Coturnix japonica: one gene and its partner. The protein of the gene in region 1 purifies or fractionates together with the protein of each later gene. This does not show direct contact. Links are inferred from orthologs where the notes say so. Each region holds a gene or a part of one and is shown in the gene's direction. Other genes may lie near its edges.

The links. Proteins that work in one complex are often made in the same cells at the same time.
Region 2: the proteins of ALK (region 1) and PLCG1 purify together in Homo sapiens (affinity purification with western blotting; 3 studies listed by BioGRID, with this or other methods). This does not show direct contact. The link is inferred for Coturnix japonica from reciprocal best matches to the Homo sapiens genes ALK and PLCG1.

Annotation. Positions count from the first base shown.
Region 1 is NC_029518.1:10,021,420-10,025,069, forward strand, and holds part of ALK (ALK tyrosine kinase receptor), read left to right. Parts: intron 1-887; coding exon 888-986; intron 987-1,475; coding exon 1,476-1,628; intron 1,629-2,852; coding exon 2,853-2,951; intron 2,952-3,650. UniProt on the Homo sapiens protein: Neuronal receptor tyrosine kinase that is essentially and transiently expressed in specific regions of the central and peripheral nervous systems and plays an important role in the genesis and differentiation of the nervous system.
Region 2 is NC_029535.1:4,202,978-4,206,627, forward strand, and holds part of PLCG1 (1-phosphatidylinositol 4,5-bisphosphate phosphodiesterase gamma-1), read left to right. Parts: intron 1-3,204; coding exon 3,205-3,357; intron 3,358-3,650. UniProt on the Homo sapiens protein: Mediates the production of the second messenger molecules diacylglycerol (DAG) and inositol 1,4,5-trisphosphate (IP3). Plays an important role in the regulation of intracellular signaling cascades.

The DNA of each region.
Region 1 (3,650 bases):
GACCAGATTCAAGATCTCTACTAATCCTTAATCTCCTGGGCCTCATAGTTTCTTCAGCCATCTGCACTGTGGTGGACTTTTTAACCCCTGGTTCTCCACAGCTTAAATCAAGCCCATGTTAGACTTGAAATTCTGAGAGGAAGTAATGAGTTTAAATAAGTGCATGTTTTGTACCAATGTTTCTGTGTAATGCTTCTTTTCCCAACAGAATGCCTCACATGATATAATTTTGCTTTGCACTGAAGATGGTTAAAGAGGAAAAGCCATTATTGGTGGGGGGTGGGGGGATCCTTGCATGCTTCTGTGAAATACACGGACCTTACTATGCTTCTGACTTGTTCATGGATTGCTCGTACTTAGCTCCTAGAATGTTTTATATGCCCAAGCACAAATGAGCAACTGAAGAGCAAATTCCTCCAGTCCCCATTCCTGGTGGACCACCCTGTTTTCAGGGTGCAAAGGAGAAGAAGGTTTATCAGATCACTTATTCCCTCTGCTGACACATACCTGGATCAGCAAGGATACTGAACTGAGCACTGGTGTTTTCCAGTCTCTTGGCCACATTGATACTGAGAAGGCCTTATGTGTTTTCACAGCATCCAAATGGTTAAAGATGAAATTCATACCTTAGTTTGCAACAGTTCGCCTAAAAACAGAGCTAAGGCTGTAATAATCCGCTGCTATAAATTGAAGTTCTAGACCTGAAAGACCAGTGTTTCATACCGAAACTCACTAGGTGATCCCTATGTTTTAAATACTTTGATGTATTCTCTTTTCTCATTTGGATGTCTCCCTAAATACACTGAAGCCGTGCATGTTGCAATGCTTATCTGTATTTTAGTGCTAATGCGCCTTGGTCTGTTAAGGTAACTTCTGGTTTGACGTAGGTGGCAATGCTGCAGAGGACAATGACCCAGAGGTGGATGGGGAGGATGGTGTGTCCTTTATTAATCCGATTGGTACTTTATACACTCCAGCACTTAAAGGTATTCATGTTGGTCTGCAGTCTCCTCTAGTGGCTTTCTTTCCATGTTAAGACTAGTTTGCATCTGTAAGACCCTTCAGAAACCTTTGGATACGTGTTATTGTCATTCTTAACAAGAGGGAGAAAAATTGCTTGGCCAATGCAGTGGTGTATAAATGCTCCCCAGAAATACTGCCACTCCAGCTATCTCTATGCCGGTGTTTGCCCAGATGTCACTGTTTGGGTGTTTTCACTGCGTTTAGAAAATATCTACGTGACAGATATTTTCTGAGAGCACCTCAGCTGCAGTGACGTTAATGTAGCTGGGCATTATTTTCTATGTGAGAACAGCAACCATGAAAAGTGGGAAGAAAACAGTTCCTTAGATGGGGCTTTTCTCCACCACAGTCAGCAACTGTGGCCATAGTGCCTCCTTTTCTGTCAGTGCCCGAGGGAATGATATGAACGATGTTGCCAGTATTTAACTTTGCTTCTTTCATCCATTCCCTAGTGACAGAGGGGCATGGAGAGGTGGATATTAGGCTGCACCTTAACTGCAGTCACTGTGAGATGGACGAGTGCCGTGTTGATCTTGAGACTCAAAAAGTCATTTGCTTTTGTGAGCCAGGCACAGACTTGGCTGAGGATGGTGTGTCTTGCATAGGTAAGTAGATGATAGGCTGGTAAGGTGTGAAACAGGGAAAACACATGGTCAGAATCTATAGCTTGGACTGTAAGACATCTGGAAATCTTATCTTGTCTCTCTCTTAAAAATGGCTCCTGTTGTATGTTATCTATCTTCTTTTCTGCTGCTATTGGCTGTACAGTTATTTTGCTAGAACACAGACATATCAGTGCAGGGGTATGGTGCAAAGAGCAGCATCTCTGGTTTGCTTTGTAGTATATCAACCACATACTGGGCACTGAGGATTGTGAGCCAAGTTTTATCTGCAAGAGGCAAAGGGCAGCAGGTCTGGTTGCAAGAACAGTCACATTTTGCTTTGAAATCATGAAAGTTTTCTCAGAAAAGGAGTTTTTCAGCTAAATTTCCAGGTTATTTCTCTTAAGAACCCCGAGGTAATGTACAAGTAAAGGGGAGTGCGGTTCCTGTGGGCTTGGATACAAGGTGTATATGCAGGATCTGTAAAAAATTCTGCATGAGAGGAAAATAAAAGGCAGTGCCTGTACTTGCCTTGCTTAAGAAACCGAATGCTTAGAACTGCATTACAAGGTTTTATTTCATATTCTTGCCCGGCAGTGTAGCAAGTGACCCCAGGCTTTTGGGATCCTGCTCTCAGCTTTGTCACTGACATGGAAAAATTGTTCTGTATTTTTACCACGGGCACCTGCAAAGTGAGTAAAAGCGTGGTCATTTTGCAGGGTGAAGTAAACCTTAATAGGTGGTCATTGAGTGGCTTGTGATCCAAGTGAGGGTGCAGCTAGGGAATACTTCGCAGTGCATATGTTATCAGTTTTGTGTGCCTGGACTAGATGCATTTAGGAGATGATATATTGCAGTCCTCCTTCTGCTCTGATCTGGCATTGATAGCGGCACTCTAGACCAGGCTATTTAATGTTCTTTCCATCTCCCCAGCCTTCTACCCCCAGCTTTTATGGTCTTGTTTTCATATACAGGGAGTGCACATGTTAATTCCTTGATAGCAAACCATCTGTTTTAATGGCTTGGTATTAATTGAGGAAAGTAAAACAATGAGATATTTGAGTTCATCGATCCTGAGAGCCGATCGCATCAGAGGTTGCTCCTACGCTATAGAAGCAGCAGATGAGTAAATGGGAGGAAAAGCAGACAAATCTAGCTGCAAAAAACAAAGCTTCTGCTGGAAGATCGTGTCAAATGTAATTCCTTTTCCTCTTGTCTCTGTTGCAGCTGAGCCAACGGTTCATCTCCCTCTCTCCTTGGTTTTGTCAGTAGTGACTTCAGCATTGGTTGCTGCCTTAATTTTGGCTTTTTCAGGAATCATGATAGGTGAGTGTTTCTCTGCAATGACTTCTTCATGTGATGGCTGGATCTGATACAAGAATAATCGGGCCCTGGGAGGCAAAAAGGTGCGGTTTATAGCTGCTGCTGTATTGAATGGCACCTTCCCACACACACTCTTTGAGATTTCTGCAGCTGTTTCTAACTACGCTGACCAATTTGAGGAAGTTTCATATCTAAAAGCAAACCTCTTTATTTGTGCGCCTATAGACAGATTTAGCCCCTTAATGTATGACATTTAAGCTTGAAATTCCCACAAAGTTCACCTTACACAGCCTGCTGATTTGTGGAGCGTGGATGTGCTTGGCATCTTTATTTGAAAATCAAAAAAGCATTTTTAACCCTTGCATTTTCTTATTTTAAACTGTGCTTTTCTTGCATTTGGTTGCCAGCAGAACAGATCCGAATCAGTGAGAATCAGCCAGTGATTCAAACCACAGCTCTGCCACCTTTCTTTGTCCACAGTGTAGAAATGAGAGGAGGGAAATGACATACCCAGAGTAGCAAGTGGCAACTGGTCAATTAGATTTGCACAGCTGTTTCAGTGTTAAGAGTTTTGGGAATTGTCAGTTGCACACACATGATATGTGTGATATGTGATTTCTGGATATGTGATTTCTAGCCTGACAGTGCCCCTTTAAAAGTGACTAATTATATCTCAGAATGTGTAAGAATAACCCGCTCTCT
Region 2 (3,650 bases), on another chromosome or scaffold:
GACCTTCCTCTTTCCATTTGAGTCACTGGAAGCTTTTGCCTCTCAAACAGGCCGGGCTGGTGACTGAAGGGTGGCCCAGGGCCGTGTTTGGTCTGCAGAGGGGATGCATTGCTTTAAGGGTGGTGGTGCTGGGGGGAGGCAGCAGCCAAGTATGAAGTTTTTTGGCCTTGGAGGCTGAGGCCACACGGTGGAAACTGGCAGCCTTCACGTGCCTGCTGCTTGCTGGGCTGTGGGCAGAGATGGTGAGATAGCAGCATCCTGCTTTGCTCACTTGGGGGACCAGCTTTGGGTTTTTTTTAACGTGTGCTTTCTTGCATTTGAGGGTAATCTGGAGAGATGTGCTGATGATGCAGGATAGGCGGCCGTCAGCCCCCAGCCTGTTCTTGGTATTGGGAGGATGCTTGTGAGATCTTGAAGGTCACCCACACGAGGCCAGGGCTGGTGGAACAGTGAGGCAGGGGCTGCCCTGTAGGAGCAGGGCAGTGTTTGGGCAGAGCCTTCACCTCTCTGCTCCAGATTGTAAAGATGCGAAGTTGTGAATCACCTCATCTCCTGCCCATCTGCCCTCGCTGAGGATTTCTGGGGGTACAGGGAGGAGCTGGAGCTTAGAAGCTGTAGGACACGTGATTCAGGGGTGCAACAGCAGCTTGAGGCGAAGCAGGAAGCTATGTGCCCACTGAGCTCCTGTGGTTGTATCTGGGTATACTGGGGCTCCCATAGAGCAGAGCACTCAGTCCCATCCCACTGCTGGTGGTCAGTCAGGATCAGGCTGCTCCCATCCATCCTGGCTAAACCAGGAGCTCCCTGCTGCCTCCAGCCCATTGATCTGTTTTGAGCATCTTCCCTGCCAAGGCACTCACTGTGGATGCAGCTGCCTCTGCTGTTCAGCTAACACAGACATCACCTCATAGCAAAATGCAGCAGCTGAGAGCAAAGGTTGCAGTTTGCTGCTGTGGGTAGTGAGTGAGATGGAGCAGCTTGCCAGAGCGAGCCATGGCAATGGCACAACCGAGCCAAGGCTGCAAGGAAAAAGAGCTTAACCTGTGTGCTTTCCTAAGGGAGGAGAGGTGCCTGCACATCACAGCAATGAGAGCAGTGGGATCCAGAAACCTGAGTGCTGATGGCCGTGTGTGTGGCCAGGGAGAAGGAGCAGAAACCCGGCACCACATCTCTGTGCACAGGCAGTTAATTACCATCGCAGTATCCCATTTAGTCTCATCTATTGAGGAAAGTGTGCAGGGCTGAGAGGATGAGCTATTGTCACTGTGAAAATCTATCCTGATGAGAGATGGCTCTTCCCTCTGAAATAGGCTTTTGTTGTGTCAAGGTTACTGCCTTCTTTGAGATAGGATATAAGATGTTGGTCTCCACTTCTTGTGTTCCACTGCTGTGTTATTCCCTGTGGTGCTACGTAACAGATCGCTCTCTTTTCTACCTGCACGCATCTGTGAGTTGGGTCTTTTTGTCCACCTTCCTCACCTGATGTGCTTTCAGACCTTCCCTGGGAGCTGTGGGAAGACCAGAAGTTGTCACATAGGTTGTGTTTGGGAGAAACTGTGTTGCAGAGAAGACATTTCTCGCTGTTTTTTTCACTGGGATAAGCTGATGGATACTACTCAGTTTTGATGCAGGTGAAAAGTAGGGTTTGGTGTTGTAACAGAGCCAGAGTTACCCTCCCTCTGCTCCCCTGCAGGCTGCATGCAGGTCCTGTGCTGCTGCTGGGGCTTTGCTGCCCGATGGGAACATGGGATGCTATAGGGATGCAGTATTGCAGTGCTGCACGGTTGGGACGGTGGCATCTGTGCTCACAGTGCTTCCTGCTGAGAGCTCATTTCCTTCCACAGTGTGAGGGGGCTGGGGAGGCTGAGGGCAGAAACCAAACCCTCATGCGCCCAGTGCACATGGGTATGTTTGGGAGGATGAGAGATGAGCAAGCAGCTGCAGGCAGGCGTGGGCCGGAGCTTGTTAACAGCTCGGTGTGCAGGGTGCTCATAGCAGCAGCCGTGAGCTGCTCCCTGCACCACGTTCCTTTGCCGGGCTCCCCTCTTGCTCTGGGTGCTCTCCCTGGTGTGCATTTTGGGGATGCAGTTTGCAAGGATAGCTCAGCCTCCTCTACCCCACAGGGATGCTTTGCAGCAAGTACTTTATTGCCTGGTAAAGTGCCATGAAATCCATTCGTTCCCACTGCTTTTGTCAGGTCCTAGGACAGGAATAGCCTTTGCTGTGCACATCACAGACGCAAAGACCACAGCTGTGATGCGTTTTTACTTTAGATGACATGCCATGTCACTAAGGATGTGACACACAGACAGATGACAATGGGACGCGATGAACCTCCTGGCCACTGGTATCCAAGGGGTAGTTGGTGCCTTACAAAGGCATCTGCTGCTTTAGGGAGCTGGCTCAGCTGTCTCTACACCTGGGGAGCTGGGTCTGCGTGTGGCCTTGGCTGCTGAGCTTTGAGCTACTGCAGCACCAGGCAGGATATGGCTGTGCCAGGCCATCCTATGCTCCCTCTGCACGGTTTGTTACAAGCACCAGGCTGCATCCCAGCCTGCTATTGGGTTTGCTAGGAACGAGCATCTCACAACCCAACCCAGTGCTGTCAGCCTCTGCAGGCTGCTGGGCAGCTCACACTTGTGTCTGCTCTCAAACTGCAGCAAATGGAAGCAAGAAGCAAATCGGTGCGCAGTGACTGCGGTAAGTGGAGTTTAATTGGGATGAATTAGACTCCAGGTTTGCAGTAATCACCATCCCACATTGCTCAGAAGCATCGTCTGCCTTGAAAACGTGACTCAGAAATGTTGTTATTTGATTCCCTCGGGTGTTTCAGAAACTATTTTTTCCAGGAAGCAAAGATTCTCGGGTTTGGGTTTGTTGGGTTTGTTGGGGTTTTTTTGTTGCTGTTGTTGCTGCTGTTGTGTTCTGTCTGATGGTAATGAATGTCCTTTCCCAGAATGTCCTCTGGGAAGGACGCTGTGGCCGCCCTCTCCAGCATCTCTCCAGCTCCCTCTTCTCTCCCATGCATTGCATCCTGGCACATTGCATCCTGCCATGCTGCAGCTCCCCCATGCTGCGGTGGCTGTGTGAGCGCTGCACTGCCCTCCCTTCTCCCGTAAGGAACCACAGACCTTCATTGTCTCAGTGATTTCGAGCTCTTTGCTGATATCCCCTGTGGTTTTTTTCCCCCACGTTGTCTCTTAGTGGATATTCGTGAAATCAAAGAGATTCGTCCTGGAAAGAATTCACGTGATTTTGACCGGTACCAGGAGGATCCGTGCTTCCGACCGGATCAGTCCCACTGCTTCGTGGTCCTCTATGGCACTGAGTTCAGGCTGAAGACCCTCAGCTTGCAAGGTAAAGGGCGGGGGCATCCCCACAGACCCCACATATCTCAGACATCCTTTCGAGGGGTATTGGGGCATATCCTGGCCAGGTGCTCTTGTTGCCATGCATAGGGCATGGCTTTGGAGGCAGGTGGCAGCAGCTCCATAACAGGCACTGCTTAAGTCAGTAGCTGATCTGGTAAAGCCAGAAGTTGTGTAACAGGACCCCTTATTTCAGAGCTCTTGTAGCAGTGCTTTATCTCAGCTGGGCACATCACACGTCAGCTGAGTGCCACCAGCCACACACCGAGTGCTCAGAGCTCA